2 linked regions of the Daphnia pulex genome follow. The protein of the gene in region 2 purifies or fractionates together with the protein of the main gene of each other region. This does not show direct contact. Links are inferred from orthologs where the notes say so. Each region holds a gene or a part of one and is shown on either strand. Other genes may lie near its edges. The genes, in order: leucine-zipper-like transcriptional regulator 1 and tyrosine-protein phosphatase non-receptor type 9-like.

What was found.
Region 1: the proteins of tyrosine-protein phosphatase non-receptor type 9-like (region 2) and leucine-zipper-like transcriptional regulator 1 purify together in Homo sapiens (affinity purification with mass spectrometry; 3 studies listed by BioGRID and IntAct, with this or other methods). This does not show direct contact. The link is inferred for Daphnia pulex from reciprocal best matches to the Homo sapiens genes PTPN9 and LZTR1.

The regions. Positions count from the first base shown.
Region 1 is NC_060017.1:2,283,060-2,287,559, reverse strand, and holds the start of leucine-zipper-like transcriptional regulator 1, read left to right. Parts: upstream 1-1,557; 5' UTR 1,558-1,595; intron 1,596-1,628; 5' UTR 1,629-1,712; coding exon 1,713-1,852; intron 1,853-1,926; coding exon 1,927-2,098; intron 2,099-2,165; coding exon 2,166-2,302; intron 2,303-2,368; coding exon 2,369-2,486; intron 2,487-2,571; coding exon 2,572-2,735; intron 2,736-2,797; coding exon 2,798-2,873; intron 2,874-2,933; coding exon 2,934-3,004; intron 3,005-3,080; coding exon 3,081-3,188; intron 3,189-3,258; coding exon 3,259-3,337; intron 3,338-3,403; coding exon 3,404-3,592; intron 3,593-3,652; coding exon 3,653-3,761; intron 3,762-3,849; coding exon 3,850-3,873; intron 3,874-3,939; coding exon 3,940-4,010; intron 4,011-4,080; coding exon 4,081-4,357; intron 4,358-4,412; coding exon 4,413-4,500. Other genes in the region: beta-mannosidase-like, read left to right, coding at 1-92, 189-440. UniProt on the Homo sapiens protein: Substrate-specific adapter of a BCR (BTB-CUL3-RBX1) E3 ubiquitin-protein ligase complex that mediates ubiquitination of Ras (K-Ras/KRAS, N-Ras/NRAS and H-Ras/HRAS).
Region 2 is NC_060018.1:4,169,584-4,174,163, reverse strand, and holds the start of tyrosine-protein phosphatase non-receptor type 9-like, read right to left. Parts: upstream 3,012-4,580; 5' UTR 3,006-3,011; coding exon 2,868-3,005; intron 2,696-2,867; exon of another isoform or gene 2,497-2,695; intron 339-2,496; exon of another isoform or gene 1-338. UniProt on the Homo sapiens protein: Protein-tyrosine phosphatase that could participate in the transfer of hydrophobic ligands or in functions of the Golgi apparatus.

The sequences.
Region 1 (4,500 bases), on a different chromosome or scaffold from region 2:
CAACCACTGGCCAGGAAAGCATAGCGCCACCTAATTATCTCTTCCTAACATCTTTTCCGAATGTCGGCAACTTGCAGATGGCTTCTGTTGAGGTAATTTGTTTTCCTAAATGGGAAGTCTGCTTTCTTTGTATGTAGAATAATGGGATAGAAATTCATACAAATGGTTTTGTCTGGCCGCGATTCTAGGTCGTCGATGTGAGCAAAGTCTATGTTACTCAGAGATCCGAGTGGACGGTGAACATTACTTTGGCTACCGATAACGTTGCCGCTTTCGTCTGGATTGATTCTGGCACTTACTGCGGTACGTTTTCCACCAACGGATTCATGTTCTACGACCGCTTCAAGACTGTCAAATTCTACTCCAAAACTGAAATTGTCGACATTGGTAATTTCAAAAACAATTTGAATTTGATTCACTTGGCTCAAATTATTCTATGATTGTGGGCTGAACGTGACTATAATTTCTTCCTATCTTTACTTGTATACTATTCTAACCAGAAAAGTAATATAATTGTACCGGAAAAATCAGAATTGTTGATTCAAATTAATGAAAAAAAACTGAAGGTTTCGTGCTTTCTTAGAATTTGATTATCGAGTCGTGTTTCGGGGTAATTGATTCTACTTAAGATAAAAAAAAGCCCGATTGATTTATTTTCTTTTAAAATCTGTATCAAAGAGAGAAAAATTATTTTTAATTTGCGAAATTCGTGATCGTTTTTGGTATGTCGAACCGGAAACGAAAAATACAGTTTCGTAGTTCGTACAACGTAAGTCTGATCTTTGATTCTCGATCAAAAAAATGTAACTAAAAAATTTTAACAATGCCGAGATTGTTTTTCATGTTCAGACTGTTGTACAGTTTTGACTTTGAGAGAAGAAATAAGGGACTTTGGTCGCTTGAGGCTACCGCCAGTCAATTACGACAATAAATTCTACATCCTAGATTCAAAAAGGAAACCTTGATGATTTTAGATAGTTGATCTTCCGTTTTGTTGTCTTACATAACAAAACAAAAATTAATGGCAACATACTATAGAAGGAAATAATCAAAGCTGGGCATATTCCGGAAAATATCCCCTATTTTTTTCTTAAATTTTGGGCTTGGATAGCCCGATGTTAGCTATGGGATAATGGAAATTAGGACAGCCCGTCTGAAAATAGTAATATCCGAATTAACATTACGATGGTGCCCTCAATATAGTAGCCAGATTTTATATGAGACCTCTGTTTATGAGCATTCGTATTGTTCCATTCAGGCAACTTGCGGTGACCGACAGTTTTCAGAAACAAGTAATATGTGGCTTTCTGACGAGATGGAAGTGCAATAATAGTGCATGCATGGTCTTAACAGTAATCTATCGCAACGTACGTACCATGCCAAATATTACGACTTTTCAAGGAGCAGTTGCTGGTACGTCTAGAGGAATACATTTGTTTTACGTGATGGTAAATTCTCCTAGGGATCCTGTAATGGATTTTTTTTTTTTTGCAGTTTTCAAACTTACTCTTTTTTCACAATAGATGGCGAGTAAAATTATTCTACTTGTTTGGTCGTCTGCTTTGGTAACACCAAGGACGGTAAGGAGGAACACAACAGACTATCAACATCAGTATCACCAACACTACACACAGGAAACCAAACATTCAGAAGTGACTTCCTGTCTAATATGTCAAGATAGATATTAACGTGGATTTAGATTTTCAGTCACAATGTCAGATAGTTTTACGAAGATCGGCTTTGACCATAATTGGCCTGAGTCAGCTGTGTCCCTTACTCTAGATTTGGGTCCATTTGAAACTGTTCACAAATGGAAACGCATGCCAGACTGTGATGAATTTGTCGGTTTCAAGTAAGAATCATTTTTCCAACTATCTTATATGTATGGGATAACTTATGGTTAATCTGTTTTAATATCATTCACAGACGGAGTAAGCACACTATTGTAGCACACAAGGAAGCCATCTATGTTTTTGGGGGAGATAATGGAAAAAACATGCTGAATGATTTACTTAGATTTGATGTAAAAGAGCAATCTTGGGGAAGAGCATTTTCTACGGGAACCCCTCCTGCACCACGCTATCATCACTCTGCCGTGGTAAGTAGCATTTCATTAATTCATAAAAAAGTGTATTCATATAATCTTACTCTATACATCACAAAAGGTACATGAATCATCCATGTTTGTCTTTGGTGGGTACACTGGGGATATCCACTCAAATTCTAATCTAACGAATCGAAACGACTTGTTTGAGTATCGTTTTCCCACTGGCCAGTGGGTTGAATGGAAGTTCATTGGAAAGTAAGGATATATTTTTTACTACATATTTTTTTATCTTACATAATATTTGTTTCATAATTCACATAGAACTCCCGTTCCTCGTTCTGCTCATGGAGCAGCTGTTCATGGCGGTAAACTTTGGATATTTGCAGGTTATGATGGAAATGCTAGGCTAAATGACATGTGGACTATCTCTTTGCTCCCTGTAATATATTTTCGACTTTTCATAATTTATCTTAAACTTAGTTTGAACTGGAAAAAATTATCTAATGAATTCATCCGGTAAAAAGGGTGAGCCACGAACATGGGAAGAAGTTGTTCAAATTGGAGAATGTCCCCCTACTTGCTGCAACTTTCCAGTTGCCGTGGCACGCGATTCCATGTTCGTGTTTAGCGGTCAAAGCGGAGCCAAAATCACGAATAATCTCTTCCAGTTTCAGTTCAAGAGTAGATGGTAAGAGGCATGCTCGAAATCTAATAGCAATTTCTCGTATTCTAATTTCGCTAACTTCCTAGCTGGACACGTATCACTACGGATCACATTTTGCGTTGTGCTCCTCCTCCACCTACTCGACGCTATGGTCATACCATGGTATTATTATAGTTAATTTTCAGTAATAAAAAAAAATTATTGAGAAACAATTATTTGTAGGTGGCTTATGACCGTCACTTGTACGTGTTTGGCGGAGCAGCTGATAGTACTCTTCCAAACGATCTACACTGGTATGTGTCCCTGATATTCCTACGAATCTAGACATTTCTCATATGAATCACGAATAATGAATGTTCTCTTTTATAGCTTTGACTTGTGCACTCAAACTTGGTCAGTGATTTCACCATCTGCAGATTCCCACCAGATTCCTTCTGGTAGATTGTTCCATGCAGCTACCGTTGTCGGTGACGGAATGTAATTTTTCATCAATTACTTTATGTATTCAAAACATTTGAGTCCAATTCTATTTAAATGTTAAAATTAGGTATGTGTTTGGTGGCACAGTTGATAATAATGTTAGAAGCGGAGAAATGGTTCGGTTCCAATTCTCAAGTTATCCTAAGGTAAGATTTTTCAAAGTTAATGAATTTTTTAGATCTTTTCTGATTTTGACAAATGTATTTTTACAGTGTACGCTTCACGATGATTTTGGTAAATTGCTTGAGACGCGGCAATTCTGCGACATCGAATTTGTTGTTGGTCCCGATGAAAATCCCGTTCGCATACCTGCTCATGTAGCCCTAGTTGCTGCACGGTCTCAGTGGCTCAGAACTCGAATTCGTCAAGCCAAAGAGGCTCGCGACAAACATTTAGAAAAGGTTATTAACATAATCAACATTTTCTTTGGAAATCTTTCATAATTCATTATTTTTTATTAGGTTTTTGGTTCCTCTTTCGTACCATTCAAAGATCTTCCACTACTAGAAGTTCGTTTAAAAGATGCCGTTCCAGAAGCATTTGAAATGATACTGAACTTCATTTACACTGGTTTGTATTGACAAATTTCAACACTTTTATTATATGATTCGTGTTAATGTTTTATTACTTGGTTTATCGCCTCATTCTTATTAAACAGATTCGATTGATCCTACATTGAAAAGTGAGTTTGTTTTATGATTATTGATTAGCGTAACGTGATTTAACTATTATTCACTTACTTTTGCAGCGGGGAAGGAACCAGCAACTAGCAACCGTGTTGTGCTGCTCATAATGGATGTTTACAGACTCGCTGTTCAGGTAATGTATCTTATATGATGTAGGGTTGGAAAAAAATTTTTACCTTACCATTACTTTTTTGTAACCTTAGTTTCATATGCGACGACTGGAGCAGTTGAGTGTACAATATCTAGAATCGATTATCAATCACCGTAACGTTTTGGCAGCATTAGCTAATGCGACAACCCTTCGTTTATATTTTATCAAAGAATTCTGTCTACGCTTCGTTGTCAAGGAATCAAACTACAATGCGATCGTTATGAGCAACGAGTTTGAAACGTTAGATCAACCTCTCATGGTTGAAATAATTCGGCGTAGACAAGTGCCACACGTTCGGGTTCCAGTTGAACCTCAGTTTGATAACACAGGTATTTTGTGGTAGTTCTTATATTCTTATAGTTGTTTTATTTTTTCTTCTTTCAGGCACAAATCTTGAACAAGACATGGAAATGTTTGTTCGTTCAATAGGAAAGGACTTTTGTGACGTTACATTAGTCTTAGAAGGGACATC
Region 2 (4,580 bases):
TAATAAGGCTCGTCTCTCGCTCGCTCTTTCTGGGAAAAAACTAGAAACCGAACTGTGTTGATGTCGAACATACGAAGCAGCACATTTCCAAATTGAAAAGACGTCGAGGACAACCCACGCGCACGCAAACACACGACACTTTTTTCTTTTGATAGTCGAAAGTCGCGCGAATATTTTTGGTGTACAAGTCTCGGAACACGGAGGAGCACCGTGTCTCGTCAAAAGTGCAGTGGACCCTTGAGAGAGCGTCAGACGGGCCGTTTAATCAACGACTGACAATCCCTTGCTTCCGCTGGAACGCCTCGACCGGCAACTACTAAAGTTGGAAACCCAGCAAAAGAGAGTTGGGGGGGGGGGGGGGTTTTCTTTATTTCTTTATTTCTCTTTTTCCCCTTGGCAGCATATCTCTCTCTCTCTGCCTTCTGGTTGGTATACGCTCGGTTGGACCTGAAGAGTTGAACGCACTGGTCACGTGACGTAACAAAGCTGAAACAAGAGACCCGAGCGTCCAATAAGCAGGCGGCGGCGGCCTCCGTTTCTCTCGGCTACCACAAGGGCCTGACCAATTTCTCCCTGGGTCTACGAGATCTACATGATACATCGCCTAGAGGAGCGTAAATTCATTCAAATCCCACATGGCTCTAGAAAATAGTCAAGGGAGAGAAAATAACGTGGGATTTAGGATTTTCACCTGGTTATAATTATACACCCTGGACTTCTAGCTACGATATTCGATTTTTTGCGGATTGTTTCCTGGATTGAAACGATAGATAAACTGGGGCTCGTCAACAACTCAGAGGTCGACGTCATCTTCTCTAAAAACGGATTGTGCGTCGCACTATTGTTGACGAGATAAGGTTCCAAGCGTATGGCCCCGTCAACAAATAATAGAAAATCCTTCCTCCTTGCGACAGTGCCACCACCTGTCCGTGAGAATGAGAGATCCAGCCGTGACGAACGAACGAAAAGATAACGAGAGAGAGAAAACAACAAGAGATCAATACCGACACATACACACAATGTGAGAATAATACCAGAGACAAACAATATATACAGCTTGTTTGCAACGGCAACATTTCCTGTGCTGTTGATGAAAGACGTCTCGGAAACCGATCGGCCGATACTGTGAACGACCTGGAACACCCCCCACCTCCCCTCGAGGGTTTCCCACTTGAATACTGCAGCCATTTCAGAAAAAAAAGAAGAAAAATAATTTTGATATTTCGTGCCAGACGAAATGCAGATGGTCCCCATTTTCCTAGAAAATCAAAATCTGATGACGACAGAGGAATTTTGGCAGAGTCCCCACCCTGTCTTTGTTTGAATCAAACACAAAATATATAAAAAAGACACGACGGAAAAATAAGGAGAGAGACAGCCCGGATCTGCTCACAACCAGGACGGGTTTGAAACATGAATATTCATCAAACGAATATCCTAAACTACAAAGAGCCACAACAGCCATTTTCCTGTTGCTCCAACCAACACACACACACACTTGTTTTTCCTCATCTTGTCGACTCGCTACGCCCGTCAAGTGGTGATTCTTCCAGCTAGGAAAAAGAAATGCACGGATGGTGTTGTGTGTGCGTGCAACTAAGCAATTTCTGTATCCCCCAATCATTTTTCCTTTTTTTTTGCTGTTGGCATCGGCGCCAAAAATACATTCCCTGGGTCTTTTGCCAATGTCCAATCCGCAAGAAATCAATAAACATCCGCCGGTTTTTCCCTTAGCCTCCTTCTTTTTTTTATTAATATAAGCATCCGCAGGAGCAACACGTGTTTTGCACATGCGCCGCAAATTGAGGCCAGAAATACGACGACAACAGCAGGAGAGAGGGAGAGATTTGTTTCCCCTCGCTCTAATTTTCCTTCCTTTCTCTTTCCCAACTTCCGGCCAAAAAGTCGGTTAGTTGCCTATGCATACGAAATGAGCGCCTTCAAAATTTCAAGACATTTCACACCCTTTGCTAAACTGTTTCCGGTCATTTCCTCTTCGCAATAAAAAATTCAGTGGTATCTCTCTCTAGCTGCACTTCAGACACTGGACATTTCAACGCACAAAAGTATCCGATTGCTTCACGGATGCAAGTGATGAGGTAACCACTAGACTGGCAACACAAAAAGGAGAATAAACGAATATTCTTGGGTTTCTCCCTTTTGGTCAGTTCTTTTCACTGCCTCTTTTGAATAAGAAACAAAAATTTGCTCAGGGCGGAAATCCGTCCCTGACAATCACAGCAGACGAAAATTCCCATTTTTAATGCACAAAACAGCCTCCCTATTATTAATGATTATCGGTTCAAGATGTTTCAAGGTCCCACGAAAATGACGTATGCAATGTGCTTGGAAAACAACGGTAAACATTCGAAAAGAAATTTCGTAGAAAAACTGAAATGGGCAAAAATGAATTTTGGGCGTTGTACGCACACAAGGGTCAAAAGAAGAAGATTTCTTCCAGGAATTGAAAATGAACACACACACCACGTTTGATACCTTAACGAGTGGGAAATCGCGAAAATGTGGGTGTGGAGTAGATTCTCCCAAAAAGACACGAACATACACAAACACACTAGGGGAAAAACGCACTGTGGAGGCGTCTGCCCAACACACACTATAATACCACGGGCGGCTTTCCCAATGCGCCGCGGTAGCACACACCGATCAAGGGGTGCTCCCTCCCCGATTCTTTTCTAGCAACTACTCAACAATGAAAACGAAATGATTTCTTTTTTTTTTTTACAGGTGATTGGCAGCGACCACGTGTTGACAGGAGACGTTTGAACGTGACGCAACAAAACGAGTTGAGTGTAACCAGTACGGGTGAGGGAAGAGGATTATGAAGCAAAAAAAATGTATTGGCTTACCAATTCCTCTTGGGCCGACAGTGTCGTGTCAGCCATTTTGAATACGACTGAATTGTGGGGGGATAGCGACTCTAGTGTTTCTAGCCACCACTTGAAAAAGCGCCACCAACACAGCTGCCCTTCAACTGCATTGGTCATTACAGTAGCGACGTTTTGTTGGTTCTCTGCGCCATCTAGGGTACGTTTTCTTCACTTCATTCAACTAAACTAACCATTTATTGCACGGCGGAAGAGGAATATGGTCATATGGACACAACAAAATCAAAAAATAGAATTTAACAATGGTAAAAAAAAAACTTAAGAAGGAAATAAATCATAATTGCTCAACAAATGTGAAATGAATGGTATGCCAGCACTTGCTTCTCAACGCCCATGTTTCTCGGAATGATGTAGTCGACTTTCTGAGAAGTCCGTCATCTGACTAGTCTACTCTTAATGGTAGATTAGTAGGTAATCGATTGTTCGAACTAGCTCATATTGCCTTTTTTTTATCAGGTCTCGCCCTGTAGAACGGCGTGATAAAAGCTTCAAAAAAGAAGCTGTCGGGTAAAATCAATCAGGACATTGTAGATCTGGTGTTGGAGAGGAAGCAACCAGAGACGTTGGGTAGTAGTGGATGAAATTAATATGAATAAACAAAGATGGGAATAAATATGACTAGACAGACCTTTCCACGCACACACGGAAATGGTACAGTTAAACTCCCAGGCTCATGTTTCTCGCCCTCTTCTTATATGCGCACCCCTTATTTCTCTCCCTTGAAACTGACGAGAAGTAGAACTTGTGATAAGTTTCCAGATTTCTTGGAGAGCAAAAATGTGGCCAAGTGAAAAACCAGACCGGCAATATCATAAGACAGTGTTACAAAAAGAAAAAGACACGACAGAAAATGAAAAGGGGACTGTTTTGTAATCTTGGTGCAGTTCCCACTCAAAAGTTTCTGGAGATAACGAGATAGAAAACTTTTCAGCGCGTCGTAAAAGTCTCTCACACGCAATCTAAACGCAGATGCAGCATTCTTGTCTATACTTTTACGCCTTTTACACCACTTTCACAATATCCGCATCAGCGATCTTCCTCTTCGTGCATGCACGCATCATGTATCTTCTTGCTAGATGAATGATTTGCATCCGACAGGCGACAGATCGATAACGATCAACTTTATTACTGTCTGAACGATTTTAAATTAGACAATTTGTATTCTTGTCATCCAGCGCCATTCTTTATTGATAGCAATAAAAATAAAGCAGACTAGCATAAACCACTTTTATCAAACTAGCATCTTTTGAGTTCGCACGCGAATTCGGTTTTCCAACCAATAATGCAGCCATACTCTCTCAGAGCCCATCAACTGACTTCTCCTTGGCCCTGGTTGCTTGACCGCTTTTGTATACGTATGCACATTCATCACTTGTAACAAATGTAGGCTAATTCTCTAAAACAAGGAAGCGTATATCTTTATTTTGTTAGGAGTTAAGACCGTAATGTTGCGTGATTAACTTCGATGCCAATGGATTATGAGTAAAATCTACTATCATTTAGGACAACAAATATAAATTGTTCATCTATTAGCTAGTTGTTTTAAAATTTGTTTTAAAATATTTTTTTTTTAAATCGTGCTGTCAGAACCAGTATCAAAGCGAACCCAAGCGACCATACTTGCAACTAAATCTGACAGACAGAAAGAAATGTGATAACCAATAGAAAAATACC